Linked DNA regions of Canis lupus familiaris. The protein of the gene in region 1 interacts with the protein of each later gene in a biochemical or structural test. Links are inferred from orthologs where the notes say so. Each region holds a gene or a part of one and is shown in the gene's direction. Other genes may lie near its edges.

Region 1 (4,528 bases):
CCACGTGACCGGGACCCCTCCCACCCCGCGCCGCGCTCCACCAATCAGCAACCACCTCCGCGCCGCCGTCGCTCCCCTTTCAAAAAGGCAGCTTTCTCCTCCCGCCTTCAGCCCCGCCCCTCACCCAACCTCCCCGCCCCGCTGGCCACGCCCACTCCCCCAACTCCCCGCTCCCCTCCTCCCCTCCCGCGGACCCCGCCCGCTCTCAGGCTTCGCCCCGCCCCACCCGGGGCAGCGCGCTCGCCCTCGTCTCGCGAGATCTCGGCGTCCCCGCCCCGCCCCGCCGCCGCGGCCGCCCGCCTCCCCCTCCCGTCCTCCCACCCCCTCCCCCCGATCTCTCCACTCTCCGGCTCTCCTCCCTCCCTCCTCCCCCCTCCACCCTCTGGGCCGGATCTCGTCTCGTCGAGGCGGAGGAGGAGAAGGAGGAGGAGGACGTTCGGCCTGCGCAGTGAGATGTTTGTCCGTCGCCGCCGCCGCCGCCATCGCGGAGGAGCGCGATAAAGGGAGCCGAGCCGGGCGTGAGGGGGACCCCGCGGAGGCGCCGCGCCAGCGCAGCCCCCCCAGCCCAGCCCCGCCGCAGCCCGAGCCCGAGCCCGAGCCCGAGCCCGAGCCCGAGCCCGAGCCGCCGGAGCCCGAGCCGCCGCGGCCGCCCAGGGGCCGGCCCGCTCCCCAGCCCAGCCCGGGGGCCGCGCCGCCGCCGCCGCCGCCGCCGCCGCCCCCCAGCGCAGCCCCTCGCCGGCCCGCCCGCCTTAAATGTGACACCGGCGCCTCGGAGTGCGACCCGAAGCCGCCGCCGGGGAGGGGACGAGCACCATGTCGAATCTGAGCAAAGGCACGGGCAGCCGGAAGGACACCAAGATGCGGATCCGGGCCTTTCCGGTGAGTCTCTCCTCGGCGCCTGGGACCCCGGGGCCGGGGGGCCCGGCGGAGAGCCGCACGCGAGGCCCGGGCTGAACTCCCCCAACAGGCCGCAGGCCCGGCCTCCCCTCCCCCACGCCGCCGGCCGCGGGGCGCGAGCCTTCCCGGCCACGGGGCGGGCGGCTCGGGGGCCCCGGCGCCTCAGGCCGGCGCCGCGCACCCGCCCGGGAGCCTCGGGCCGGCGGCGGCGGGCGGGCGGGCGGCGGCTGCTGCGGCTGCGGCGGGGGCCCCTGGGCCGGCCCCTTCCCACGTTCCCGGGGGGTAGGCCCGGCCCCCGGTGCTCCCCTCCCTGCCGGCGCCCCGGGACCACCACACCCGCGGGGACGGGGACTGTGGAAGTCTTCCGTGTGTGGGGGGGCGTGTGTGGAACTTTTCACGTGCGGTCTCAAAAATAACCCGGCCTCAACCAGGGCCCGCCAGACCTTTCGGGGGGTGGAGGGGGCTGTCCTGTGCCTCCGCAGGAAGGGGGCTGGCCGCCCACCTACCCGCCCCCCGACGCAGTGACCGTGGCTCCTTGCACTGCTCGGTAGTAACGCACGCACCTAACCTCGTCAGCTGTATTTATAGCCTCTTTCATCCACAGGCGTCCAAAAGCACTTTACAAACTCTTCTTGTGCAGGAATTGGCCTCGCCACTTGTAGGAGGGTCAAGGGGAAGCCAGAGAACACACGCTGGACAATGGCCTCTCCAGATCTTAGCCGTGGAAGCCCAGCAGGAGGGGGTCGTCACTGCCCCGAGTTGCTCTACGCTGTGGGTTTCAGCGACAGCAAAGGCTGCTCTGTTTAGAAACTTTCTTTTTTAGCGTTACGTTGAGTCATACGCTGGCATTATTTAGTGTAGAGAGTGTAACTTGGGATGCCATACCTGATTCAGATAGCCCATGGCAAGCAATTAAAGTGTACTGTTGTAACAGAAACTGGACGTTCTTGCCTCACGTCGCTACGGTAACAGGTATATGTCAAGAAAGGCAAACCAGCAGTCGAACGGAAGGTTTTGTTTTTTTTGTTTTTTTAAAAAAAAAAAACAACAGTAAAACTGGGGAAAGATCTTGAATGTCTTAGAATCCTACACACGTCATATTTTGGGAAGGGGGAAAAGGTGGGGTTTGTATTCACTGTGGGAAGGCTTGCTTTTTTCTGAAGTGTGATTTGCAGTGAGGGAAGACACTAATGCAGAAGAGAACTAATGAAGTCTGTCAGCATGTTTTCTCTTAACAGTGAAGTGAGCTGGGCTTAGGAATTTTTGAGTAATGTTAGTTTTGCTACTAAAGCAGTTGTGAACATGTTTAGCAGGATTTCGAATTATTAAGAGTTTCAAATAGTTTTCTGTATAACAAGTTTTCTAGGAAAAATTTGCTATTCTTGAAGTCTGAGTTCTTCTAACTCAAACTTACTACTATAATGCGGCATAGCTCACATTTGACATGAACTCACTTTTGTTAATATTGCGATTAACCAGTTGTACCTTTAAGCGTGATTAGCTTTTTCGTCCATTTAGGTTTACCTCTTCCTACCTGGTCTTCATTCCCTCATTCGTTTAATGAAGACTGAGTACTGTGTGCCAGGCACTGTTCTAGGAGCTTGGAGTAAGTCAATACAGCTTGAAGACTAAAGATCCCTTCTTTCTGGATGTTGTATTTATTATTGGGAGAGGCAGGAAAGAATTTCATGATTCCTTTAGCAAAAGAGTATAGTATATGATAGGTTAGCACATAGTCCTGAAACTGATTTTTTTTTTTGTGTGTGTGTGTTAATGATTGTGAGCTAATTTGGATCTTTTCTGTCCACAACTTGTTGCCATCTAAGATTTTCTAATATTCTTTATTGAAGTTTATAAATGACTACTGTTTGATACTCAGTAGTTTAGTACCTGCTAATTTTTAAAAGCATAGTTTTTCAATGTTTCATGATTTATAATATTCGTAACAACTTTCTACTGAAAAGAACCTAGATTTTTTTTTGATTTATAAACTTCTAAGTTACAGTTTCTTGGATAAATGCCTCAGTGGTATGATATTTCACCGACTTACCCTTTGGTAAATGAGTCCTTATAGACCTTCAAAATTTCTCTTTTCTTACAGGTTAGCAGTCTTCTAGTAGTAAATGCATACTGTTCCATAAAGAAAAAATAGCGTTTGTATGTGGTACAGATGTACAATATTTATAGCTATATAGTATTTTGTATTAATCTTTGGACATGCATTGTAGGTACTGTAGTTTAAGAAAATTATAGTTTAACCAAAGGTCTCAGGTGCTCATTTCAGGATTCTGTTTTATAAAATCGACGTGTAAAAAGTGTAAAAATATGTTTTGAGATTGTTTTGTTTTCATTGCAAAACAGAGTGGTAAGTGAACTCACAGGCTATTCTATAAGATGTGTAAGCATATTCCAGATACAGACCCATCAGTAAAATCAGGTTCTTTTAGTGTTTTGAGTACATATTTTAAGTGTTCCTTCATTATTGTTCCCAAGAGTAAGTTATGCCATACCACAGTTTTATCTACAATTTGCATTTTAAGTAGAACTTTTCGTAAGATTTTAAGAGAAATTAGTTCTTTTTTAAGATGGAAAACAGTGAGGACTTTATGGATTCATAAATTGTTGATGGAGTTAAAGTTTATCCCAGCCTGAAAGCTTTCCTACACTGCACAAAATATGTCATTTCACTTTTTTTTTTTGGTACCCAAAATTAACAGCAAGGGGCAAAATTTTTTTTTTAAGGAAGGAAGCTGTAGTTGCGAAACTCTTGGAAGCTATATGGATTTGGATCAGAGTGCTGCCCCAAGAAGTTTCTGCTCTTCTTTCCTTGCTGTTGTTGAATGTCTCACTCCTGAGCTTTTCTTTTGTTCTGCTATGTAGAATTAGTTGCTGTCAGGTGAACCTTTTGTCCTTTATCTTCGAAAAGCCATTCCTCTCCATCTGTACTTTCCACATGGGTTTTGTCCACATGGGCTTGAAAAAACTTGATTGGATTGGAGGGGATATATTTGAATGAAAATGCTCCTCTCTCTTCTGATAGTCCCTTCTTGACTTAGCCTTCAGAGTTTAGAAGTCATATTATGAAAGTGATGGTCTTTAGAAGTGTGTGATCTGGAAGTGGTTTCAGTTATTATAGAGCATAGTCATGATGAAGAATCTCTGGTTGTGATGTCCACTCCATAATCCTAGATTGGCTTCTTGGAGCTCTACCTGTGTAGCATGGACAGTGAGTCATGTAGAGGTTATTGTTAGAGGGAAACCACAGAGTGGATGACAATAGAAGGAGATGAATTTTAAGATCATTTGTGATGTACTTAAGAACACAAGAGTTTAATGGTAATTGGGGACACTTAATTTTGTTTTTCCTAGCTGTGGTAAAATTTGCTAGATTTGGGAAAAAACAGCTTTGATCTTCATAATAGATTTCCTTAGAGAAAGTAACAGTTGCCTAGGATTACCTGGACTATATACAGGAAAGCTGAATAATAGTCTGAATAATAGTCCTGGAAATCAAACAGGGTGGGGAATTAACTATATTTACTTACCATTCTCTAGCATACAGAAACTATGGAGTAAGTTATAAAAGATTCGTTAAAGCGTTGTTTACACTTAGACTGATTTGTTTAGTAGT
Region 2 (3,732 bases), on another chromosome or scaffold:
ATCCTATGGTCTAATCCCCTCATTTAAAGATAAGATGAGGCCTCAAGTCATACAGTCAGAACTATACTAAGGTACCTTGACTCCAACACATGCCCTTTCCACCATACTGTACCCAGATGAAACCATTAGCCCCAATAAGATTATAGTGGTATTATCCAAAGGTACACAAGTCCTCATAAGCAAAAATCAGATTGTGTATTGAAAATATGTATTATCACAAAGTTTTAATGGCTATTAGGAAAACTAGTTAGAAGAAATGGCTGAATGGTCACTTACTGGTTTTTTTTCCCCCTGCAGTGGAGCGCTACAATCCTCAGGAAAACAGATGGCACACCATAGCTCCTATGGGGACCCGGAGGAAACATCTAGGCTGTGCAGTGTATCAGGACATGATCTATGCCGTAGGAGGTAGAGATGATACTACAGAGCTGAGCAGCGCTGAGAGATACAACCCCAGAACTAACCAGTGGTCTCCCGTGGTGGCTATGACATCCCGCCGTAGTGGAGTAAGTGCCCAGCTACTGAAAACTTTGGGAAAAGAACAACAAGAGAGGGCTATGCAGGAGAGCTCTGATCTTAAAATACTGGTACAGTAAGGAGATGCACTGTTTAGGCAAAACAACCCCTAGCTACTTTTGTACTGGAAAAAATTAATTTCTTATAATTGCTGTTATCTCAAGTACTTAAATACCTTCTATTCAATCATATCTTTAATAATAGAATTATTTTTTGTGATTTATCTTTCATTGATTGTTTCCCTGAAAAACATTATCTTTCCACTACCTTATCTAACTTCACCCATATTCATCCCTCTCAATTAGAGCTAAATGTTCTGAACTAATGTTCCTAGGTAATATTCTAAGTAGTTGGCACACCAATACAGATGTTTAGGCAGAAACACATCTGGCCCCACCACCAGTCTTCACAAACTGGTATGGGTCTGTCCCATCTGTAGTTTAGACCTGGCCAGGCTGACCTATGTCATGTTCTAGACCGTGGATGACTTGTGACCACAAGAGACTTCTAGGGTGGAGTATAGCATTCATCCATCCTAGGACATTTGGTTTGTAGTGAAATGTAACCCATAAACCACTGATTGTGTCAGGAATCCATTGATGTAGAACAACAGGTGGGAGAATGCAGCAGTAGCTAAAAGACTCCATTATCTGAGGATAAAAAGGAATCAATTTTGGTGTGCACAAATCAGAGAATATCACTGATAGGCATCAGCAAGTCAAAACATTCCCATATCTATGGTTTGCTATTACTGGTGATGAACAGCTTCTAGGTCACATTCCTGTTGTTTTCACTGCTACATTCGTATTATTTAGCAAATATTTATGAAGTTCTTACTGTGTGCTTGGAAAGCAAAAGTGAGTACAACTCCGCAAGGAGCTCCCAAGTTAGTGGAGGAAATGGAAATGTTTACAGAAAATGATAAAAACAAAAAAGAAACGGTTGCATGTGCATTGTAAGAGAACATGGGAGGATATGCTTAATGTATTTGGGGGCAGTGAAGAAACTTACCAGAAAAAGTCAGATGTAAGCTAGGCCGTGAAAGAAAACTAAGATTTTCTAGAAGAGGGAAAGAAAACCAGGGACCAACATGTGCAAAAGTATGGAGGTATTACTAGTATAATCCTAATATGGTATTATTCCAATATCAGAAAAACATGGTATTTTCTGGGAAGAGCAGTTAAATCTGTATTCTTGCAGCATAGGGTACATAAGGAGGTGAGGCTAAAACATGGCCTAGGATGGATTTGTGGAGGGCCTGAATGACCTAGAAAGGACTTTAAACTTACCCATAGGTGGTAGGGAGGCTTAGCAATTTTTTAGAGGGAAGTGACAGCATGGTTAGGTTTGTATTTTAAACAGAATTTTAGTGGCAGTTTTAGATAGTGGGTTAGAATAGGCAAATACCAAAAGAAGTGAGAGCAGTTTGGAAGTTCTTGTCGGCTCCCAGTGATGCTTTTCCAAAAATTTAGAAATTTATGTTTTGAACTTTATAAATATTCTGATTGAATATATAATTTTATTGTTCCCACATATAATAGATTTTTGTCATTACTTTTTTTCCTCTGTTTTCAAGTAAGCCAGAATGTAAAGTCATAAAGAATTATCTTTTATTAAAAAGATTTATCTAGAAACTAGTTAAAATTTTCCCAGTGATCCTCTGGCTTCTTCAGTGGCCACTGTGTTTTGGTCCTGTAGGTTGGCCTTGCAGTAGTGAACGGACAGCTCATGGCTGTAGGAGGCTTTGATGGCACAACGTACTTGAAGACCATTGAAGTTTTTGATCCTGACGCCAATACATGGAGGTAACCTTTAAGCTACATTGCAGATCACCTCACTGCTGACTTGAAAATCATGGGAATAAGGTAGCCCATGACCTTAAAAATTGGGATGGTCATACATTGAGAAGTGCTTTTGCAATACTCGTAAGAGAGCTCCAAGTTACCCATATTTGATGGCTTATTTTGAATTCTTTGCTCTAAAGTGGCTGACATTTTACATCTTCTCTTTGGTAACTGTTCAGTTTTATAATAGAGATGGCAAGCAGAAAAAAATAATTTCCTTTCTAGCCTCATCATGTTCAGCTGAGGAAAGTAAGGCACTGAGAAATAAAATGAAGCAAGTTAGTCATAGAATTAGAACTTAGATTTCTTGCTTCTAATCTGTCACAATTTATGATGTTCTTAGTGGCAGCTTTATGCACAGGAAAAAAAATTGTAGATACTTTTTTTTTTAATAATAGTTTATTTCATTTTAAAATCATTGTTTTCCTTGAGTTTTTAAAATGTATTTAAATATATTATTTTCTCTTTTAAAGTCCAAGTTGGTTAAGCATCCTATTCTTGCTTGGTCTCAGCTCAGGTCTTGATCTCAGGGTTGTGAGTTCAAGCTCCTCATTGGGCTCCATGCTGGGCAGGGAGCCTACCTAAAGAAAGAGAAAAAAAGTCTACTAAATTTTAACAGTCACTTCTAGGAAGAAATCTACCTCTCATTTAAGAGGCTTAACTATGTTAAACTATATTTATAGGTTTAATTTTACTTTGCTTTTAAATTCTTGTCTTAACAATCTTAACAAATCTTTCCTAAGTGCTTAAGTGGTTCTTATAAATTCACATAAATCATGTTACTCATGCATTTAAGTATTCAAAAACTGAGGCACCTGGATGGCTCTGTCAGTCAAGCATCTGCCTTTGCTCAGGTCATGATCTCAGGGTCCTGGGATCGAGCTATGCCTTGGGCTCCCTGCTCAGTGGGGAGTCTGCTTTTCCCTCCCCCAGTACTCCCTCTCCATGCTCATGCTGTTTATATATATATATATATCAAATAAAGAAATCTCTAAAAATAAATAAGTGGAGGCACCTGACCTGGCTGGCTGGCCCAGGTCATGATCTTGGGGTCCTGGGATTAAGCCTCCATGTCAGGCTCCACACTTGGTGGGGAGTCTCTCCCCTCTTTACCACCCCCCTTCCCTGGCTCATGCTCTCTCTCTCTCTCTCTCTCTAATAATACAATCTTTAAAAAAAATACAGTCTTCATGTCTGGGAAAGCCACACTTTTACAGATGTTTAAATGGTGTTCTTTGGATTCTGCCTTTGGCTCATGGCTCTGTATGACTACCAAGTCACAATACTAAAGTCAGACTAGAAGTCAGACATTGGACACTTTTGGCTTCTACTAGATTACATTTTCACAACCTTGTTCACTAAGTAAAGATTT
Region 3 (4,159 bases), on another chromosome or scaffold:
CTTGAGCTGTTTGATGCTTCTGAGTCCCAGTTCTCATCCTGGGACCTCTCTAGCACTTAACTCTCAAAGGAGTCAAGAAAGGATGCTGGAAATGCAAGGCTAGAATAACAGGACAACCAGAAGAATGAAAGGAGTGTGGGAGATGGTGGCATTGTGAATGGAAGGGCCTAAAGAGGTAGCAGTTGCAGAGACACGGCTGCGATCAGTCCGTGGAGCCCAGGGACCTCAGTGGTACCCGAAGACCCACAGGGTAGGGCCTCTAAGGAGGCTAGGGCCAGCCCAAGATACGAAAAGGTGGAGGTGACTTCCTGAAGCGAGGATACGTGTCGAGATGGACGCCAGGTCGGGTCTGAGGAGGCGCAGGGCATGGAACGGCCACTCCCCCGAGGGGAGGACTGCGAGCCTGGGCAGAGGTCGACGGCTGAGAGGACCCCGTGAGCACCCCTGCCCAGCCCCAGCGCTGGCTCAACCGGACCGCCAAAACTACTTGTTCCACAACGCTCCAGGTGATGACGGCAGGTGGCCTCAGAGACAGACGGGGACGTACAGCGGGAGCCGCACTGGGTCGCAGAGGTGCTGAGAGACTGAGCACCGGCCGCACCCACCCACTGAGCGCGGTGCCGCGCTGCACACCCGCCCGACCGTTTCCATGGCGACAGCCGGACGTCATAGAACCGCCCCACGCCGCGTCCTCCCGCCCTCCGAGGCACGCTGAGCTGTGTGCGATCGTTGTGGAGGCTGGCCACACAGCGGAAGATCGCAAAGCGTGTCCGCTGGGTCTCGGGACCTGCTCCGAGAGGGTCCCCGCCCCACGTCCCATCTAGTGTCCACCCATGTAATCTCCCAAAGTGCTTACCACTAGCACAATACGCGTTTTATTTACTAGTTTACCTCATCCAGAATCTCCGCGAGCCAGTTGCTTTTGCGATGGGACATCGAGGTTGCTCGACCCCGCACTCTCTGAGTAAAGGCTATGGCCTCTCCGGGCTCTGGCCCGCCGTGATCACCTTGCCTCTGTGACCTCCAGGGGCAAGGACCTCATGTGACCCACCCCCACCACAATCTGCAAGGGTGGGCTGCCTACGAAGTGACCATCAACTGCCCTACTTAAAGATGGCGGTGGCACCGCCATTGACTGGACCCGCGAGCGTCCCCGGAAATGACCGCGGGACAGGCGGCACAAACGGAAATACCCGAGTCCAGCCGAAAAAGTCCGAATATTAAGACCTATTGCTGAGCAACGCGGGGCGGGGGTGGCGGCGGCCGTGGCGGCGGCGGCGGCAGCGGCGGCGGCCGCGGCGGCCGCGGCGGCTGCTGCTTCTGCGCAGGCGCATAGCGCAGGCCGGGCGAGAAGAGCCGAAGAGTGCAAGCGGCGGAAATATCCGAAGCGGTGGGGCGCCCGAGGCCGTTGCGGACCTCTGCGCCGAAGCCGCTGCTGCCGCGGAAGCCGAGCCTTTCTAGTACACGGCAGCCGCCACCGCGGCCGCCGCCTCCTCCTTCCCCTCGAGCCGCAGCCCCTCGCGGTGGGAGCAAGTGAACAGACAAGCGGCGCGGCCGCAGCTGGGCCTGAGGGGACCTAAGCTGGCGAGGGGGAGGAGGAAGCGGCTGGCTGGGGGCGGGGCCGAGCGGGCCCGAGAATAGCCGAGTCGGCCCGAGCGCCGCCGAGCGAGCCCGAGGCGCCGGGCCAGGCCAGAGCCGGACTACGGGAGCCGACGCGGGCCGCGCGGTGGGCGCGGAGCGGCGCGGCAGGCCGGGCGGGCGGCAGCAGCAGCGGAGGAGGCCGCGAAGGCGGGTTCGAGTGGCGGAGGCGGCGCAGGCGGCGGCAGGGGGCCGGGTGGCCGGGGTCCCGGGCCCCGCAGCGGCGGCAGCGGCGGCGGCGGCAGGATGATCAAGCTGTTCTCGCTGAAGCAGCAGAAGAAGGAGGAGGAGTCGGCGGGCGGCACCAAGGGCAGCAGCAAGAAGGCGTCGGCTGCGCAGCTGCGGATCCAGAAGGGTAGGGGGTCGGGGGATGGGGGTGGGGGTCGGAAGTCAGCGGCTGGGATGGGGTGATGTAGGAGTCTGGAGTGAGTTAATGCAGTCACCGGGGGGTCAGAGATGTCAGAGATGTGGCCGCAAATGTGGAGGTAGGAGGTTAGGGCCTGGGTTTCGGTGTGATGGGGGATCAGGGGTGAGTAATGCAGTCACCGAGGGGTCAGAGATGGGGGGCCGAATGTGGGGCACTTACAAGACTCGGAAAGCCAGGCATCTTGCATTGGGGACCAAGAATCAGAGAGTCAGGCAATGGAAGGCGAGTAGGAACCTGGGGACTCCACAGAGTATGAGAACATGGGTGATAGGCAGAGGAGATTGGATAGTGGGGGCCAAGGATTGGAGATAGGAGTAGGAGAGGATTTAGTGAAGTATATTGGGGTCATTGGGAATCAGAGTGAGATGGAGTGAAGTAAGTTTTGGGCACTGCGATTTGTGGGTCTGGGGGGGTCACATGGCAATTTGGGGTTTGGGGTGACACGTGGAGGAGGGAAGAACAGTGTGTGCTGGGGACTGGAGATGGGGGTAGGGTTAATTTAGACTAACATGCTGGGTGCTGGGAATCTTAGAGGCAATGTTTAGAGGGGGTACAGGAATGGGAATTCACATGTCTGAGGGTTGGATGGGTACCTGAATTTAGGATGACAAGCAGAGGAGAGGAGGGATGGTGGGGACGGCATTGGTTAGGGGCAGGGTCCTTGGATTTGGGTGGTCAGGTGGGGACCAGCAGTGTCTACTAGAAAATGGAGGTCATGGCCGGGGATCCTGGTGTTTGGGGTAGTTGTAGGCTCTTGGGGGGCCACACAGGGGTGGGAGTATTTGGGGGCTGGGGGGTTGGGTACGCAGCTGCTGGACGCTGAGACTTTAGGCTGTGGATTCGGAAGAGTTGGAACTTATCCCGGGCCGGGAGCTAGAGCATAACCACAGTTTACAATTCATGTTTGAGTTGTGCTGTGGATCTAGAAGAGCCTGCCTGGAGACTAGAAAGCAGAAAGAGTAGGGAGAGGGTTGGGGGTGTGGGGCACAGCCCAGGACAGAGCCCTGAGGGTCCTGGAGGAGGCCATGGGTGCTCTCCTGGCACCTGCACCTCCGAATGCCCTTGTCTTTCCATCTCCCTTTCCCTCTCATCGTTCCCCTTCTTTGCTATGCAAACCCAGACATAAACGAGCTAAACCTGCCCAAGACGTGTGACATCAGCTTCTCAGATCCAGACGATCTCCTCAACTTCAAGCTGGTTATCTGTCCTGATGAGGTAAGGGTACACTTAGTTGGACTCTGAGGCATGGGCCAAGGGGTCTGGGAGAGCACTTTGAGTTGGGAGACTTAGTTTACCTGCCAGGCGCTGCAGGATGATGTCCTAACACTTTCTTCTTTCTCTTTGCAGGGCTTCTACAAGAGTGGGAAGTTTGTATTCAGTTTTAAGGTGAGTCCCAGGTGGGCAGGGATACCTCCGTGGCTGAGGAGGCAACAGCTGAGGCCCCAGCCAGGCACTGCTGGGGCACTTTTCTATCTTCTCTCCCTTCTTGGAGCCAGGTGGGCCAGGGTTACCCACATGACCCCCCCAAGGTGAAGTGTGAGACGATGGTCTATCACCCCAACATTGACCTTGAGGGCAATGTCTGCCTCAACATCCTCAGGTGAGGGCTGTGACTTTGGATTGCACAAGTCTCTGTCCCTTCCTTCCCTATTGTGGTCTGTGGTCCTCTGTCTTCATCTCCATGTTTTCTTCCTCAAGTCTTGACCTTAGCTTTCTCCCTGGCCTGTCCTGCTGTGCGCCCTCCTCCTAGCCTCTCACATCTGCACTGTCCCGTGCCCTGGAGCTGACTTGTTCAGTCCCAGCAGGCTCTGTGTTGGCCATCCACTCACCAGCCCCTGACCTTGATTCTCCCTCCACAGAGAGGACTGGAAGCCAGTCCTTACGATAAACTCCATAATTTATGGCCTGCAGTATCTCTTCTTGGTGAGTAGGGGTAGGTGGGGAAGGCTGGGGAAGGTTGGCCCTTTCTGCTTTAAGGGCCTGTTGACCCCCACCTATACCGGCCACAGGAGCCCAACCCCGAAGACCCACTGAACAAGGAGGCCGCCGAGGTCCTGCAGAACAACCGGCGGCTGTTTGAGCAGAATGTGCAGC
Region 4 (3,732 bases), on another chromosome or scaffold:
CTCTCTTAGCAACTTTAAAATACAACGATACAGTATTATTAACTGTGGTCATCATGTGGTACATTACATCCCAGGATTTATATATTTTATAACTAGAAGTTTGTACCTTATGACCACCCTTCACCCATTTTTTCCTACTCCCCATCCCTGCCTCTGGCAACCACCAGTCTGTTCTCTGTATTTAAGAGCTTGGGTTTTCTTGCATGTTTGTTTGTATATTCCACATATACGTTACAATTGTATGTTACTTGCCACTGACTTTTTTAGCTTAGCAGAATGCTCTCAGAGTCCATTCATGGTGTCTCAAATTTGTTGTAATCTTACCGAGTTAGGAAAGGGACCTAGCAATGATGTAATTACTGTCTTTTGGGAATCTGATAACATAAAATATGAGAATTGGTGTATTGACTTATATTTAGTGTTAAGGGAGAAAAATAAGAAACAAGATAAGTATCACTAATTTTTGGACAAGCTAATTGAGGGATTAAACTTCTGTTTCTGGGCAGCCCAGCGGTTTAGCACCGCCTTCAGCCCAGGGTGTGATCCTGGATACCCGGGATTAAGTCCCACATCGGGCTCCCTGAATGGAGCCTGCTTCTCCCTCTGCCTGTGTCTCTGCCTCTCTCTCCCTCTCTGTGTCTGTCATGAATAAATAAATAAAATATTTTAAGAAAATAATAATAAACTTCTGTTTCTGTATTAAGGTGGAATATCTAATGCTTTACTATCTATTTTAGATCCAAGGTGACAAGGGAAATAGTAATTTCTCTGAGTTATTTATTTTCAAAATATTTGTATCTTTTTAAAGTATTAAATTTTATTTGGTTGTATTCACAAGGGTAATAAATGACCTTATGTTTTAGCAAGAAAACGAGTATTCTCTGATTACTGTCTTGAATTGTGGGCTGTTCGTACACATTCTAGTAAAATTTCTCGTGGTTCTTTGTATTTATGCATTGCCAAAAATTTTCTTCAGAGAAGGCTCTCCGTAAATGTTTTTTTTTTTTTTAAAGGATGGGTTCAAGTTACTGTACAAACAAGTGACTGATATGAATGCTACTTCATTTTTTTCCCTTAATTTCATTTTGTAAAGTGTGTAAAGAATATTTCAGAAATTTTACATTTTAAGTCATATATCAAATATTTATACCTTTATAAAAAATGTGTCAAAATTCAGATTTAGTTATTTAAAAAATTTTTATGGTGTGTTCATAGATGCCTTTAGTGCAATAGCTTATGTTTTATGTTGATATTAATATAACAATAAAATATGTAAATTATTTTTGTCTTTGAAGGTCCTGATGAAGTTGTAGGGCCAGAAGGAATGGAAAAATTTTGTGAAGACATTGGTGTTGAACCTGAAAATGTATGTTTTATTTCTAAGAATGGAGTATAAGTGGGGTATAGCATATTTACATATTTCTAAAAATCGAGACACTTTAATCTTATATCAGAATTTTGTTTCTTCATGTTTAATACTGTAAATTGTCATTTTCAGTATTTGTAACCAATTTAAGTTGGGCACATGTTCTCTTTCTTGATACAAATGTTATTTGTAATAGAGTGAGAGAGATTCTACCTTCAGAAACTTAGAGCTTTATACTTTTAAGAAATTGGCCCATCTAAATTTCTTTAGAGTTAATAATGCCAGAGGTTGTACTCTTTAATAGTTGGAAGATGGAAATAGTTGTATAAAAATGCTCTCCATGATAAATACAGACATGATTATCTCTGCTGACTTTTCCCCTATCCTTTATGTTCTGTTCTTTCCAGATTATTATGTTAGTTTTAGCGTGGAAATTGGAGGCTGAAAGCATGGGATTTTTTACCAAGGAAGAATGGTTAAAAGGGATGACTTCATTACAGTAAGACATTTTTTTAAAAAACAAATTTGATGGCCTATTTGAAGATCTTAATTGATATTTTGTGCTTCGTAATTTTTAGGAGTAAGGTTTCACCTTAATCAAATTGGTTTGATCTATAACAGTTAGGGATTGACAAAATTTATATTGTGGTCTTGGCAGAATGAATAGTTACCCCATTTTTCATAATCTTGAATAATCTTTGTACAGTCTTACAAAGATTATTGACTTGAGTGAATTAGAGGTCTGTGATCAAAGTGATTTGTTCACAGATTGAGCAAATGATTTCTTTCTCTGAATACAGAGTTCTGCTGTGTAAGGAGTTTGTTCTTTGGGCAGACCTAAGCTCTGGGGCCTCTTCTCTTCAATTTTATGCTTCATTTTGAAAAGGTATTTGAAGATAGAGTTACATGGCACTTCTTTTTTATTTCTTTTTTGCCAAATGAATCTTATGAAGAACAAAAGCAGAAAGGTTGTATGGCAGCCCTGCAACCCTTAGCCATGTTCTAGTTAATACTTTCAGATGCTGCCTTTGAAACTCTGATAAGTTACAGAATTGCTCCTTTACAAAAATAATTTGATTTTTACTTTGCATAGTAAAGTGTGCTTAGTTTCAGAATCAGTTAGTAATTATGTATTATTTTTAAATTATGTTCCTAATGTTCATGCAGGATGTTACTAATTACCAAGATTCTAAAATAGAGGAAGCATTAATTTATAATACTTTTGAGCTGAAACCTGGGGGTCAATTAGCCATGTGGTTTCCTGTTGTGGTTATGCTTTTATTAACACATTTAGCTATTCTTTACTACTTGTTTGCATGTCCTTACATTTCAGAATACCTCAAGATATTCTTTTAAGTGCATCTGTTCATATGGAACTTGAATTTTTATATTTGAATTTTCAGCATGTAATGCTTTGTAATTCTCCTTTTTAACCAGAATTAACATAATAGATATTTTAAATAGATTCACATAAAAACTTTTGCTTATATGAGCCAAATTATAATTTCTAGAATAGAACATAAAATCAACCCTGTCATTTCAGTCATTTTTTATAGGTGAGAGAAGGGGTCAGACTCAGATAGGTGAAGAAAATGTTTACCCAGGTTCACATAGCTATTTAGTGGCTGAGCTAGGACATAGAATTTATATTTCCAGATTACCAGTCTAGCATACTGTACTTCCTGTTATTTTTCTTTATATATGTTAGCAATCTTTATAAAATAAAGGACTATTATTAACTTTTTGAATCATAGTATTTATAGCCTAACCAGGCTTGAATTCTGTCATTCATCTAGGTGTCATAATATACCAGATTAAAATGATATTGATTCTGAAATTCTTTGGAAATATCCAACCCTCAGTTAGCTTTTTAGAGAATGATAAAATGTACAGACAAGTATGCAAAGAATATAAACTAGTTCATATACAGCTTTGTACGTTTTATTAAAATTTATATCTGTTGTAACATGGCTTATTCATTGTAAGACATTTTATTTGGCACTATAATTGCTTTTTTGTACTGCTGCTGAATTTTTTGTATACTGCTTTTTTGAACATCCCAGCTAACAAGTGTGTGTGAATTTTTTTTTTTTTTAAGATTTTATTTATTTATTTGACAGCGTGTGCACAAGCAGGGGGAGCAGCAGGCAGGAGGGGGAGGGAAAGGGAGAAGCAGGCTTCCTGCCTAGTGGGCAGCCCCACGTGGAGCTCATCCCAGGATCCTGGGATCATGACCTAAGCTGAAGGCAGACCTTAACCGACCGAGTCACCCAGGCACCCCACAAAGTTTATTATTTGTTTTTGCATAACTTGATGTAATATAAAGAGCCTTTGTATAACAGAAATGTGTGAACACACGCATTCCT
Region 5 (3,732 bases), on another chromosome or scaffold:
GGCTAATACTCCACGAGGTGTATGCACCGCATCTTTATCCATTCGTCCGTTGACGGCCGCTTAGGTTGCTTCCTTATCAGCTGTTGTAAGTAAAGTCGAACACACGTAGAAATGCAAATATTATTTCCCAGTTCGTGTTTTTGTCCTCCTTGGGTTTACTGGATCATCGGGTATCACCAGTTTCCATTTTTTTTTTTTGAGGCACCCCTGTACGGTCTTCCAGGGTGGCTGCACCAGTTTGGGCTCCCGCCCGTGGTGCGCGAGGGCTCCCGGGTCCCACGTCCTCGCCGGCACCTGGTCTCCTCGTGGACAGCGGGGGGGTGGTGGTGGGGGCCTGCCGGCTGGGGGCCCTGCTGCTGCATCGTGCACACCCCACCCCGCAGCATCCAGGGACAAGAATTTTTTTTTTTTTTTTTTTTTTTTTTGCAAAAGCTTGAGTCACTCTGACACTCTTTGGACCGTTTTGTATGCTTTAGGGTTGTTTATAAACAGGCCCATTTTTCTTTTTTTTTAAAGATTTATTTATTTATCCATGAGAGACAGAGAGAGAGGCAGAGACACAGGCAGAGGGAGAAGCAGGCTCCACGCAGGGATCCCGACGTGGGACTCAATCCCGGGACCCCAGGATCACGCTCTGGGCCGAAGGCAGGTGCTAAACCGCTGAGCCCCCCAGGGGTCCCCTGAATAGGACTGTTTTGCAGGGAAGATGGGGCGCATGTGGTGTGGGCAGTGCTTCCCCCCCTTCCTCTCCCGGTCACTCCTGCCGCCGTGGGGCTGCGGGTGCCTTGGGCCTGTGTCTCCCATCCTCGGCAGGATGGGGCCTGGTGGGGACCTGGAGAGGGGCGGCCGAGGGTCGCTTCTGTGCTGAGGGGGGAGGCGGGACGGTGGCGGCACAGGCTCCATCACGCGGTGCAGGACACCTGCCCAGGTCGGGCTCTGGCCCTGGTCTGTGGCCCGAAAGGTGCGGCTGCACATTCCTGGCTCCTGAAGTTCGTCGGTCACCCCGGGCACCCGATGGTGGCCCTTCCCGGGGTCCTGACCGTGAGCTACTGACTGTGCCGTCCCCGGCCTCGGAGCAGACTTCCAGAAGGGCCGTCGGGGCATGGGCCTCAGGCCTCTGCTCCTGCTCCGTCACCATCTGTTGCCGCTCGCCGCCCTCCCCAGCCTTCCTCTCCCGGCTCTCGGCCCGGCAGCATGGGGATGCCACCACCGTGGGGTCCGGCCTGGCCCTGGCCGCACCCTGCCTCCCCCCTGCCCCATCCCCAGCGTTGGTCCTCACGCAGGGCTTGGCGCCCAAGCTCTTATCGGGTGTTTGTCTCCGTAAAACTCCTGAGCGGGGGACACATCAGTGGTGGAGGGCGCGACCCCGGGGTCCCGGGATCGAGTCCCACTTCGGGCTCCCCGCGGGGAGCCTGCTCACCTCTGCCTGGGTCTCGGCCTCTCTCTGTGTGTGTCTCATGAGTAAATAAATAAAAGCTTACAAAAAAAAACCCTGAGAAGGAGGTATCCCAGTTCTTACTCTTTAAATGATGAACTAGACCCGGTCGGTGACTGACCAAGCCCCCTAGTTGGGTGAAGGGCTAGAGCTGATGCATTGAATGCGGATCGTTCAGACACCAGCACCCTTTTGCTCTCTCGTCCTCTGACTCCCTGAGAGCCCAGGGCCTTCCGGGAACGGGCTGCTGGAAGGAGGAGAGAGACGGGGGTCCAGAATTCGTCCCTAGACACTTTTGGGGCCTTTGGAAAATCACTTGGATGCCCAGGCTTTGGTTTTCCCCATCTGTCCCGTACAGATAATTATCCCTGTCCTGCCTGGCTTTCGGGGTTATTGTGGGACCCAAATGGCATATGTGATAACGCCTGTGCCAGGATGGGCACATTTTAATGATCTTATAATTGTTTCGTAATTTGTAAGGGTTTTAGACCGTCGGAAGCAGGGACTACCTGGGTTTGAATTAAAGTTTTGCCTAACCTCTCCCTGCCCTGCCCCTATTCTCTGATCGGCATAGGCAGTCCCAATACTTCTCTTTTCATAAGCCTGGTAGGAGGTTAACAAGTGACGACATGGTATAAGTGTTGGGAATGGGCCTGGCTCCCAGGGAGGTCTCTGTAAGTGCTCCTTGCTGGGATTGTCGGTTGTTACTACACGTGAACATCTTTCACCCAATGAAAGTCATGCTTCTGAAAATCCTGGCGGAAAGTGGCAGAAATGGATGAAAAATTATTATGGAAATTTTGTTCAAGATCATAGCAGACTGCTGTGCAAAAAAATCTAAATCCTGTTTTTCTTTTTGTTGTTGTTTTTTGTTTTTTAAGATCAGATATCTCTCGAAACTTAGAGAAGAGTATTGGGGCTGATGTGCTTGTTTGTATTTTAGAGTCAAGGTGACTGGCTGACCTGGCCTTGCCTGATGACATACACAAAGGAGATAGCGGTGCGGTTCCTTTGGAAGGAACATTGCCACGTAAAAGACACTGGAAGCTCTGATGATTTATATTAGTGTTTTTGGAGAGTAAATGGAAATTGTGATTACTTCCGTTTCTCATGTGGTTTTAGTGGGGGGAGTATTGACTTGTGTCGTTGCAAGGTTTATTTCTTGACTGTAACATTTTCTCAAAGAGGAACTAAACCCCCCCTTTTTTTTTTTTTTTTTTTTTTTTACCTTAGAACATTTACGGAGACCATCTAACCCCTTAACACTACAGGCCATGAACATTTTTTAATTTGGCGGGTGGGATGCTCTGGGAATGCTGGGCTGTGGCTAACCCTGCCGTTGTGCCCCATGGCTCTCTGTCCCCAGGAAGCCTGCGGTCTTGCAGCTCTTCAGACTGCTTTAGTAAAGTGATGCCGCCGAGGAAAAAGAGGAGACCTGCCTCCGGAGATGACTTATCCGCCAAGAAAAGTAGACACGATGGGTATGTCGCAGAGACAGTAGATCAAACTCGGTGACGTGTATCAAAGAATTTGAATTAACATTTTCAAAGTGTAGTTACCTTGTGATGTTTCTTTTACGTGTGGGTTTATAAAACAAAAACCAAATTAGGTAAGTCGAGTTCTTAGAAATTGAAGTTTTCTCTCAGTCCGTTGATCCACCAAAACTGGTGTAGAGTTTCTTTCTTTCCTTTTAAGGGCTTGTCGTCTGTGCCTGTTGAGGACCACCGGGTCGGTACGTATCTGTTCTCTACGAGGGTCTCACTTACCACACACAACCACAGGGCCGAGTGCTTGCTTCCGCAGGGGACCTGGGCCGAGAGGCTGGGGAGCACTGCGGCAGCTGGAAGCTCTCAGTCTGCTTGGAGTGTTAGCCGAGCAGAGCTTGAGGCTCAGATGAGTGAGACTTTGCTAGAAACGGTGAAAAAGGAGACTGTGTAAACCACTTCTCTTTCAGACAAGGGAACTGCTTAATTTTGGTGACTCTAAAAGTCATTTGACTTATTTATTTTAGGTATCTTTATTAGATCACCTTGATTTTCATGAGTCATTTTTTCTCTTCTCTCTCTCTTTCTCTCTCTCTCTTTTTTTTTTTTTTTTAAGACAATAAACAGACATCGTAACTTCAATCTTTTCTGCCTTTTTTCCATTTTCCTCCATTCTGGCTCTGTAGGTTACCTCACTAATGGGCCTGAATATTCACATCTAAAAATCAAAGGGATGAGATAAGATTTTTCTGTTTCTTTCTTGCTGTGATACCTAATCTGCCCCAGCTAGGTTGGAAGGATAAGATGGACTCC
Region 6 (4,359 bases), on another chromosome or scaffold:
TCCATGAAGAAAATAGGAGAAAGAACAAAAGCAGGGACATTGATTGGGAGGCTACTGCAATGATCCAGGCCACACATGACAGAGTCTTGGACTACAGTGATAGCGCAAACAGGGAGAAAAGAGCAGATGTGGGTCTACTTTTGAAGTCGAGCAAATGGAGGTGGGAAAACATTTGGAGAGACAGAGGCCACACTAGAACAGTCTTAGGTTTTGGCCTGAGAGACTGGGTGAATTTTCTGGGATAAAAGAGGGGAATACGTTTTGAGGAAAATAACAAAGAGAACCCTTACATGAGGCTGGCTGGAATATAGCACAGTAACAATACCAAATGCCAAGGTGAAGTTGGGTCATATGTGAAAGGTCTCGAGGGCCAGAATGAAGACGTTGGGCCTTTTTTGTAGGTGCAGATGGAGTCGTTGTAGCCTCTGTCCAGCCAGCAGGTAGCATGATGAGCACAGTGATTTTGGAAAGTGCCTGGCTAGATAGATAGATAGATGGTCTGGAATGGATAACACCTCGTAACACCTTATTCACTTATCGATTAAAAAAAACAAAACAAAACAAAACCGTGCCAGGCACTCTCCTAGGTACATGGGATAGGACAAGAAAAACCACATACCTATGCCCACGTGTAAGAGCTTAACCCCTTAGTCAAGTAAGCATGCAAACAAGTGCAGAGCCTGAACCACGAGCAAGCAAGTACATGACTCTACGTGGTCACTCAGTGACAGAACTGGACTGACTTGGGGGAACAGTCCAGACCTCCCCGCTGAGAACCCGGTAACCACTGACAGCAGCTCTAGGCCACCTCTGCCCCCGCCCACTGTGAACCAGGGCAAGTCGCTGCCTCTCCGGACCACAGTATCGCTGTTTTACGAAGAGAGCCCAGATGATCTAATTTTCCTCCCACTCTGGTGGCCGGGGGTTTTCCTCCCCAAAGACCACGGGTCTCACTCCAAAGCTACTAACTGGCACGTGGTGTCCTGACATTAGAGCGAGGTACTCCCGCCGTTGCCTCCCCCCTGTCCAGGAGGCCTCTGTCTGTTCCGGTCGTCACGGCAACCGCCCGGGCCCTCCTCCGGCGGGCGCGGGCGGAAACTTCCCGTGACGACTGCAAGGCACCCGCTACCAGGCGCCCCATTTGCCAGGTTAAAACATGGCCACCGCCGCAACACCCGACTCCAGTTTCTCGCTGAATACCCGGGCCTGAGCAGCCCCGGAGCCCACGCCAGGGCAGGAAAGGGAAGAACGGCCCCGCCCGCAGGCTGGCAGGGTTTCCGGAAACCCTCACGCCTTCCTTAGCACCCCGGCCTCTCCCCAGGCACCCGACCACCGCCCTAGAACGTCACTTCCGTCGGTCCCGGCGTCCAGGATTGACGGCGGCGGCCACCCAATCACAAGCGGGCCCACCCCCGGCCCGGGCGGGGCAGGCTTAGGGCCGGGAAGCCCCGCCCCTCGCCGACGTGTGACGTCGAGTCGCCATGGCCAGCTACCCGTACGGGCAGGTGAGTGTGCGGGGGGGCGGGCGATTCCAGGTAGGGGCTTCGCCGAGTCCAGGCCCAGGCGCCGCCTCGCCTTGTCCGGGCGTTCTCCGCGCCCTTCCTACGCGGAGGCCGGCGTCGGCGAGGTCTCGCGCGCCAGGGAAGGCGAAAGGCTGCTCGGTCGCGCCTGTCTCACGTCACGCAGGACTGCGGGTCTGGGAGGTTGCGTCGCGCCCCCTCTGACGTCGCGCCCGTGAGGATTTGGGGACCTTGGACCCCACGTAATCAGGCGAGGCTCTGATTACCTCCTCGGGGCTCCCGGGGGGCTGCCGACGGGCTCACCCGCGCCAGCAGAACTGAGACAACTGGTTGCGCCTGCCACGTTCGGGGCGTCGGATAAAAATACACCCCTGACGTACTGCGTGCGAAGAATCGGGAGAATCTTGATTGACCCGCTTCTGCGGGTCCCACGAGTGACCTTGCTCGTTTAGGCTGACCCCTCCGTTTCATGCATGGGAACAGTGAAACCCAGAGAAGACGCAGAACTTACCCGAGGCCCCCGGGCGGGCAGCGGAACCCGGAAGCTGTCGGCACAGGCCTCTTACCCCCTCCCCAGCCCATTTCGATCCAGCCAAGAGCACCACAGCCAGGGGATTCTGTGACCAGAAGCCTCTGTTGGATGACGGATCGGTAGAGTGGTTAAGTTCAGCCTGGAGTCAGCAGGTTCACCCCTTGGCCCCACCTCTTAAATAGTTAGGAGCCGTTAAGCAAGGTATTTTGCTTCTGTGAGCCTGTTTCCCCGTCCATAAAATAGGGCCCAATAAATAGGGTCTACTTGAGAGAGCTGTCGTGAATAGCAAGCTGTCATGCTTGTAAAGCATTTGGTACTTCTAAGAGTCTAACAGTATTTTAGTATTTGGATTTTTTTTTTTTTTTAAGACTCCTAGGTCAGTGCCAGGAGGGTCCTCAAAATAGTCCCTTTATTTTAAGAAACTGAAGCCCAGAGAGGCTCCTGAGTTGCCCAAGATCATACTAATTTAGGAGGTAAAACCCATGCAGGGGGGATGCCTGGGTGGCTCAGTGGTTGAACGTCTGTCTGCCTTTGGCTCAGGGTGTGATCCTGGAGACCTGGGATTGAGTCCCAGGTCGGGCTCCCTGCATGGGGCCTGCTTCTCTCTCTGCCTGGGTCTCTGCCTCTCTGTGTCTCTCATGAATAAATAAATTAAATATTTAAAAACCCATGCAGGGAAAATTGGAAAATAAAATTATATGGGATATTAGCGATCAACTGAGTATAGTCCCATGCCAAAAGAGAGGTGAGGGAGTACAGCCCTGTATGGCTTTTGTACACAGTATTTGAACCTTTTTAATCTCAGTGATGAAGGTCCTGTAAGCATGCTAGCAGAGATTATTGTCCCAAGGTTATTGCTGAGGAAGGAGCCCAAAGAGGTTAAGTGGCTTGCTCCTTTTCGTTGCATTTTTAGCAGAGGTAGAAAAAAAAAGCTGATGTTAAGAGGAAGTATAATCTAGCAGGGCTTCCAAAGCTCCATTCCATTGGTTGGGTCTTACGAAATGTTAATAGGTATTGCTAATAGAGGAGGATTCTGTGGTTAAATAAGTTTGGGAGATACTCCATGAAATACTCCGTGAATAAGTTTGTTCAACACGGGGCATCTCAGAATTCTTAATTTGTCAATATGCTTTTGTAAATCTGCCATTGAGGGATAGAATATGCAGTATTTTTAAACTTATTTAACTGTGGAACTACCTCCCACTCCCAACTCCCCTTTTTAAAAAATTTCTGGTCATTTTTTGGTACAGCTACTATCTTGGGGGAACACAGTTTGGGAAAACATTGCTATGGTGCGTTGTTTTTTAGTGGATGGTCTGTGTCAGAATCACCAGGAAGTTTGTTTAGAAAGCACACCTTTGGGGATACCTGGGTGACACAGTCAACTGAGCATCTGACCTGGTGTCAGCTCAGGTCATGATCTCAGGGTTGTGAGATTGAGCCCTGCATCAGGTTCTGCACTCTGCACAGAGATTGCTTGGGATTCTCTCTCCCTTCCCCTCTGTACCTGCCTGCTATGCTCTCTCCTTTCTCTCTCTCTCTCTCTTTCTCTTTCTCTCAAATAAAATAAAATAAAATAAAATAAAAAGGCACACTTTTGGGTTCTACCTCAGACCTATTCCATACCCAGGAAGGGCCCAGGAATCTACATCTTAATAAGTTTCTGGAGGTATTTTGTAAGCATCTTAGAGGCAGTAACATGGAAATTAAGAGCCTAAGCTTCCAGGTTGGATACAACTGGGCTAGAATCCTAATTCTAGCACTTAATAGTTATATGCCCTTGGACAAACCATCTAAGGGCTCTGACCATCAGTTTGCTCACCTTTAAGAAGGGAGGAATAATACTTCATAGGGCTGAAATGAAGACAAACTGTGATAAAGCTTGCAGTGAGCTTGGCACTGTGCTGATACCAAGTGTGTGCCAGTGCCTGGTGGTGGCTCTTGCTGCTGGGATCACTGTTAGGCCACATGGCCTGGGCTTCTGCTCAGAGTGAAATTCTGAAAAAGAGCATGGAGAGAACAGTGTCTAGAATAGAAGAAATGCTTTTATCCCCCCCATCATACCCTGTCCACCTGTCCAACTCCTGGTCCAAGGTATTCCAACAAAATACCTGGTGGTTTTATTTGTTATTTATTTATTTATTTATTTATTTATTTTTAATTTTTTTTTTTTTTTTTTAATGATAGTCACACACAGAGAGAGAGAGGCAGAGACACAGGCAGAGGGAGAAGCAGGCTCCATGCACCGGGAGCCCGACGTGGGATTCGATCCCGGGTCTCCAGGATCGCGCCCTGGGCCAAAGGCAG
Region 7 (4,321 bases), on another chromosome or scaffold:
AACCCAGGCCTTCTCATACTTCTGATATCCTTTCTAGATTTTACGAGATTAACCATATCTAGATTGTGGCTGACAGTTGGCAGCAGCAGTGGGACAAAAGCCCCTTTGTTAGAGTTGTTGAAGTCCATGGCTGCTATCTTATGAATAGTGTTCCTACCTAGCCATAACTACACAGTGGGCCCTATGGGCAAAGCTCTGTACCAGGAGCCAGAAGGACGCAAAGAAGAAATAGCCCGTGGGGGAGTCAGACATATGAACAATTAACAAGCAAAGTCAGCCTTGCTGTAATGGACACAAATCACCTGCGCACAAGTCCAAAAGCACTGACAGCTGGGGTTGGAAGGGAAGGAAGAGATTTGAGCCAGGGCTTAGAGGATGAATAGAAGCTGGATAGTGGGTGGATGAGTCTCACTGATTATGAGAGTCTCATTATTGCGGGATATTAAGGGAGCCTTCTTTTATCTCTGAGGCCTTATCTGTGTCAAGGGTCTCCTTTCAATTGTTTTCCCCTTAGGAGTCATCCTTGGTCCCTCCTCCTCCCGTACACTTCACTACCCAATCCAGCAGCAAGTCTTGCAAGCTCTATTTCCAAAATGCATTCCGAATTTAATAATCTGCATTTCCACTGCCACTACCCATCTCTCCCTGGGCCTGGGGCAGCAGCCTCCTAACAGGTCTGACAACTTTCTACCCTACTCTAGCCAGCAGCCGAGTGATTTTTTTTTTTTTTTTAATGTAAATCAGGTCACTCCCCTTCTCAAAACCCTCAGGTAACACAACAGCCAAACCTTAACCTTGGGCATTTAGCTGTGCATGATCAGGCCCTCCCACTTCTCCATCACAGACCACTCCAGCCCGTGTTCTTTCAGTTCCAGCCACCTGGCTTTCCCGCCGTTTCCCTCCTCAGGACCCTTCCTGTTGGCTCTCTTCTCCATCTAGAAAAGTCCACTCCCTAGCTTCTCTCCTTTCACGCATCTCCGTGGAACTCTGGCCTTATCTGAAAAGCCTCACCCCACCTGGAGTGGCCTTCCTCCCACCTCCTACCGCTTCACACCCCGTATTATGGTCTTAGGGGGGCATGTCGTACTTGCTGATATCTCCTTACTGACTGACATTTTAACTTTCTCCCGGACTCCAATAAACAGTCACGGAGCAAGGCCTCCGTCTCGTTCTCGTTCGCGGACCGAAGCCGTTTAAGAAGCAGGTTCTCACTACCGTCCTAGGAAGCCTCCGTGGCCTCTACGGGACCTCGTTTGGGTCAACCTTCCCCAGCTTGACGCCTCTCGCCCCCGGAATTGCCCCTACTGATCTCACATTTACATTCGGGGATCCAAAGGATTCAGGAAAAGTCTCTGTTGGGCCCCAAACCGGCATCTCAGCTGTTCGCCAAACAGGCCTCCGCTTCCTGGCCCTCGGGCCGCTTCCCCCGGCGGGGTCCCGAGGCCGGTGGCGAGGACAGAGAGCCGCCCTCGCGAGGCTGGGGTCACACAAGCGCGTCTCCTAGCAACGTCGCACCCCCGCCCCCAGCCCATCCCTGCCCCTGGGGAGTCAACCCCTTCCCCCAAGTCTCCCGCGCCAGGAGTCAGCGTCTCCATCCCCTACACTCACTCTGCGTCAGGCCTGCCTTCCCCCACCCACAGAAGCGCCGCAGCCTACCGCGGGCTAGGAGGAGGCGGCGCCGGGAGCCTTGCTGAGCCGCGGCCGACGCTGGTCGGGCAGGTCCGGTAGGCCAGGCCGGACTAAACCACCGGGGGGGGGCCCTCCGTGGAACCATTAGTTCCAGGTCAGGGATGGTCTCAAGTCTCCCTGAAACTTCATACTCTAGCCCACCCTCCGCCGTATACCCAACAGTATAGCCAACTTCATCGTCTCCCTAGTTTCTCTTTACCCCTTTTCGCTATCCTCCCCCACCCCCACTCTAGCCAAAAAATGATCCAGTCCAACTCCTCCCAGCCCTCCCTCCGCGTCGCTAGTTCTTTGCCCTTACTTGGCGACGGCTTCGTACGTCCGTGCGTACGTCGTGACGCAATCTTCCACCCGTTCCTCCCCGCCCCTCTTCTATTCTCTCCCTCCCGGAGCGGGCGGCCTGCGGGGTTACCGGAAGTGATGATGCAGGAGGCGATGGAGGGGGCGGGGCTTGGGGGCGGCCGCCGCCGGTGGGCCGCAGATGAAGAGGAGGCGGCGGCAGTGGTGGAAGAAGAGGCGGCGGCGGCGCGGGTAGGGATCCTGGAAACGCGAGCGGGGATGGTAGGTGGTTTGGACCCGCCGGGCCGCCGTCGTTTCCAGAAAGGGTTTGACTGGAGGAACCTCTGGAGCAGCTGTGAGTTTTGGGGGGGGGTTAAGGAAAAGCGGGGAGCATTGAGAGATGAAGGGGCGGGGGTTGGGTACCTTCGAGAAAAGGGGGTGGAAGGGGAGGAGTGGAAATCAGCGCCTTGTCTGGACTGGTCCTTTTGGAAGAAGAGGCTGTGAGGGGAGCCTGTGGCGTGTCAGCTGCAGGGCGCAAGAAAACTTGCCTACTGTCCCTGCCTCGCCACCGCCAGCACCCCTCAACCCAGGCCTGGGGATCTGGGGGCTGGAACAGCCCTGGAGAGGGTGTCGACTCTGGTCCTATGGCCCGGGTAAGCTCTGTGAGGTAGGAGTCCAAGCGGGAGGTGGTGGGTGAATCTCCGGCTCCCTCCTCCCTCATTTTCCTCCCCACCCCCATCCTTCCCTTTAATCATTAACAGCCCTGGAATTAAGGGGCTCAGACCTGAAGGCCTTTCTGTGCACCTTTGCTATAAACGATAACCATCTGTGCCTGAGGTAATGGGGCTGGAAGCTTTGCCTGTATCCTGTGTAGGAAGTGGGACGGGGTGACAATGTATTGTTTTTTATTTTTTTCCATTCCCCTTTCCCCCTTATCTTTCCTCATATACACCCCTCGTTTCCACCTCAGTTCTCTGTGGCTACGTGGTAATCCTGGTGTTTTTTTTTTTTTTTTTCTTTTCCTTTATGGCACTTGGTACCTTGGTTACCTCTTTTGAATTTGGTGTTCAGCCTCTCCCAGATCTTCCTGCAAGCTTTGTAATACTTCAGTTACAGGCTATGTCACATTGGGAGTACCTCTCAATGCCTGGTAGCTCCAAATTAAGATGAGCATTTTCTCCTATGAATACTGGGATTCCAAAGCCCTTGCAAGGATTCCTAAATGGCATCATAGCCCAGGAATCAAAGTCTCTTGTTCTAAATACTTTGTGTGTGAGGAATTTACATGTTGTCAACTCTTTCCAAAATGATTTGATGTTAGGCTAATTCTGGATTTCTGTGTTTCTCTCCACCCACACTTCATGATGCACTTCAGAGAACAGAAAACCCCATATTACTTTTTTGTTTCTGCAATTGGACAATAGCTCTTTTATCTTTTTCTCTATTCACACAAGTCTTCAGTGACACTTTTGGCTTGTGCTGATTTCTGTCTTATGCTCTCATTTATTTAGCTGATTCTTTGTGTATAGACGGACTTAAATGAGAAAATGTGATTTGTTTAAAAAAAAAAGTACAAACCAATAACAAAAATTATTTGAAGAAAGCAGAGAATGACTGGAAAGAAGATCTCTATTGATGTTCTGTGGGTTTCAAAAAAAAAAAAAAGTCACCAAGTAGTCCTCTTTTAGCTTGTTGTAGGAATTTCAGAGTGAAATGTAATGGTTCCTATTTTGATGTTGATATTTTCTTTGGTAGTCCTCTGTTGAATGCGGAACTGTGTTTTCTGAAGAGCTTTAAGAAATAGTGCCTACATTTTAGAGGTCCTTTGGTTAGAAAGTGTCCATAACTCCTGGGCCTCTATAACTGAATTTATGATGCGTATTGCTAGAAGAATTATAACGGATCCCATCCTACTCATCAGGGCTTTCAGGCCTGATAAAACGATGTTTAATGCTTTGATTATACAAGTAACAACATCATGTTTAGATGTTTCACAGAACTGTAACAAAAGAAAAGAATGAGTACTATTCTCACCTTAATTGATTTGGAACCATTGAATATAAAGTCAAAAATTCATTCATTCAACAAGCATTATTGATTAGCTAGTAAGAGCTAGCCAGTATTTTGGGCTGTGGTTGACAAAGGTGAATGCAGGCATAAGGTCTGAACTCTTATGGCGCTTATACTGTAGTGTGTGGGGCAGAATAAATAAGCGAATCAGACTTTGCTAAGTGCTGAAGTACAGGGATATGACAAAACATGTCTAATCGGGATGCAGTCAAAGAAGACCTTTTTAAGGAGGTGACCCTTAAGTTGAGCTTTGAATAAAAAGAAGCCGGACATGCAGATATATGGG

What was found.
Region 2: the proteins of CUL3 (region 1) and KLHL20 form a complex in vitro, tested with the Homo sapiens proteins (2 studies listed by BioGRID and IntAct). The link is inferred for Canis lupus familiaris from reciprocal best matches to the Homo sapiens genes CUL3 and KLHL20.
Region 3: the proteins of CUL3 (region 1) and UBE2M form a complex in vitro, tested with the Homo sapiens proteins (2 studies listed by BioGRID, with this or other methods). The link is inferred for Canis lupus familiaris from reciprocal best matches to the Homo sapiens genes CUL3 and UBE2M.
Region 4: the proteins of CUL3 (region 1) and DCUN1D5 form a complex in vitro, tested with the Homo sapiens proteins (2 studies listed by BioGRID, with this or other methods). The link is inferred for Canis lupus familiaris from reciprocal best matches to the Homo sapiens genes CUL3 and DCUN1D5.
Region 5: the proteins of CUL3 (region 1) and DCUN1D4 form a complex in vitro, tested with the Homo sapiens proteins (2 studies listed by BioGRID, with this or other methods). The link is inferred for Canis lupus familiaris from reciprocal best matches to the Homo sapiens genes CUL3 and DCUN1D4.
Region 6: the proteins of CUL3 (region 1) and PEF1 form a complex in vitro, tested with the Homo sapiens proteins (2 studies listed by BioGRID). The link is inferred for Canis lupus familiaris from reciprocal best matches to the Homo sapiens genes CUL3 and PEF1.
Region 7: the proteins of CUL3 (region 1) and DCUN1D3 form a complex in vitro, tested with the Homo sapiens proteins (3 studies listed by BioGRID, with this or other methods). The link is inferred for Canis lupus familiaris from reciprocal best matches to the Homo sapiens genes CUL3 and DCUN1D3.

Annotation. Positions count from the first base shown.
Region 1 is NC_049246.1:38,009,163-38,013,690, reverse strand, and holds the start of CUL3 (cullin-3), read left to right. Parts: upstream 1-1,581; 5' UTR 1,582-1,596; coding exon 1,597-1,668; exon of another isoform or gene 1,669-1,837; intron 1,838-1,848; exon of another isoform or gene 1,849-1,869; intron 1,870-4,528. UniProt on the Homo sapiens protein: Core component of multiple cullin-RING-based BCR (BTB-CUL3-RBX1) E3 ubiquitin-protein ligase complexes which mediate the ubiquitination and subsequent proteasomal degradation of target proteins.
Region 2 is NC_049228.1:25,329,525-25,333,256, reverse strand, and holds part of KLHL20 (kelch-like protein 20), read left to right. Parts: intron 1-297; coding exon 298-506; intron 507-2,214; coding exon 2,215-2,321; intron 2,322-3,732. UniProt on the Homo sapiens protein: Substrate-specific adapter of a BCR (BTB-CUL3-RBX1) E3 ubiquitin-protein ligase complex involved in interferon response and anterograde Golgi to endosome transport.
Region 3 is NC_049222.1:100,126,085-100,130,243, forward strand, and holds the start of UBE2M (NEDD8-conjugating enzyme Ubc12), read left to right. Parts: upstream 1-1,337; 5' UTR 1,338-1,884; coding exon 1,885-1,993; intron 1,994-3,185; coding exon 3,186-3,280; intron 3,281-3,412; coding exon 3,413-3,451; intron 3,452-3,561; coding exon 3,562-3,665; intron 3,666-3,924; coding exon 3,925-3,988; intron 3,989-4,074; coding exon 4,075-4,159.
Region 4 is NC_049226.1:28,886,791-28,890,522, forward strand, and holds part of DCUN1D5 (DCN1-like protein 5), read left to right. Parts: intron 1-1,295; coding exon 1,296-1,366; intron 1,367-1,773; coding exon 1,774-1,865; intron 1,866-3,732. UniProt on the Homo sapiens protein: Contributes to the neddylation of all cullins by transferring NEDD8 from N-terminally acetylated NEDD8-conjugating E2s enzyme to different cullin C-terminal domain-RBX complexes which is necessary for the activation of cullin-RING E3 ubiquitin ligases (CRLs).
Region 5 is NC_049234.1:45,539,961-45,543,692, forward strand, and holds part of DCUN1D4 (DCN1-like protein 4), read left to right. Parts: coding exon of another isoform or gene 1-53; exon of another isoform or gene 54-85; intron 86-516; coding exon of another isoform or gene 517-536; exon of another isoform or gene 537-573; intron 574-620; exon of another isoform or gene 621-645; intron 646-2,801; coding exon 2,802-2,916; intron 2,917-3,732. UniProt on the Homo sapiens protein: Contributes to the neddylation of all cullins by transferring NEDD8 from N-terminally acetylated NEDD8-conjugating E2s enzyme to different cullin C-terminal domain-RBX complexes which are necessary for the activation of cullin-RING E3 ubiquitin ligases (CRLs).
Region 6 is NC_049223.1:68,861,040-68,865,398, forward strand, and holds the start of PEF1 (peflin), read left to right. Parts: upstream 1-1,355; 5' UTR 1,356-1,481; coding exon 1,482-1,505; intron 1,506-2,031; exon of another isoform or gene 2,032-2,322; intron 2,323-4,359. UniProt on the Homo sapiens protein: Calcium-binding protein that acts as an adapter that bridges unrelated proteins or stabilizes weak protein-protein complexes in response to calcium.
Region 7 is NC_049227.1:24,694,642-24,698,962, forward strand, and holds the start of DCUN1D3 (DCN1-like protein 3), read left to right. Parts: upstream 1-1,518; 5' UTR 1,519-1,608; coding exon of another isoform or gene 1,609-1,774; exon of another isoform or gene 1,775-1,916; intron 1,917-2,128; exon of another isoform or gene 2,129-2,320; intron 2,321-2,450; exon of another isoform or gene 2,451-2,618; intron 2,619-4,321. Other genes in the region: LYRM1 (LYR motif-containing protein 1), read right to left, coding at 1,657-1,774. UniProt on the Homo sapiens protein: Contributes to the neddylation of all cullins by transferring NEDD8 from N-terminally acetylated NEDD8-conjugating E2s enzyme to different cullin C-terminal domain-RBX complexes and may play a role in the cell cycle progression by regulating the SCF ubiquitin E3 ligase complex, after UV damage.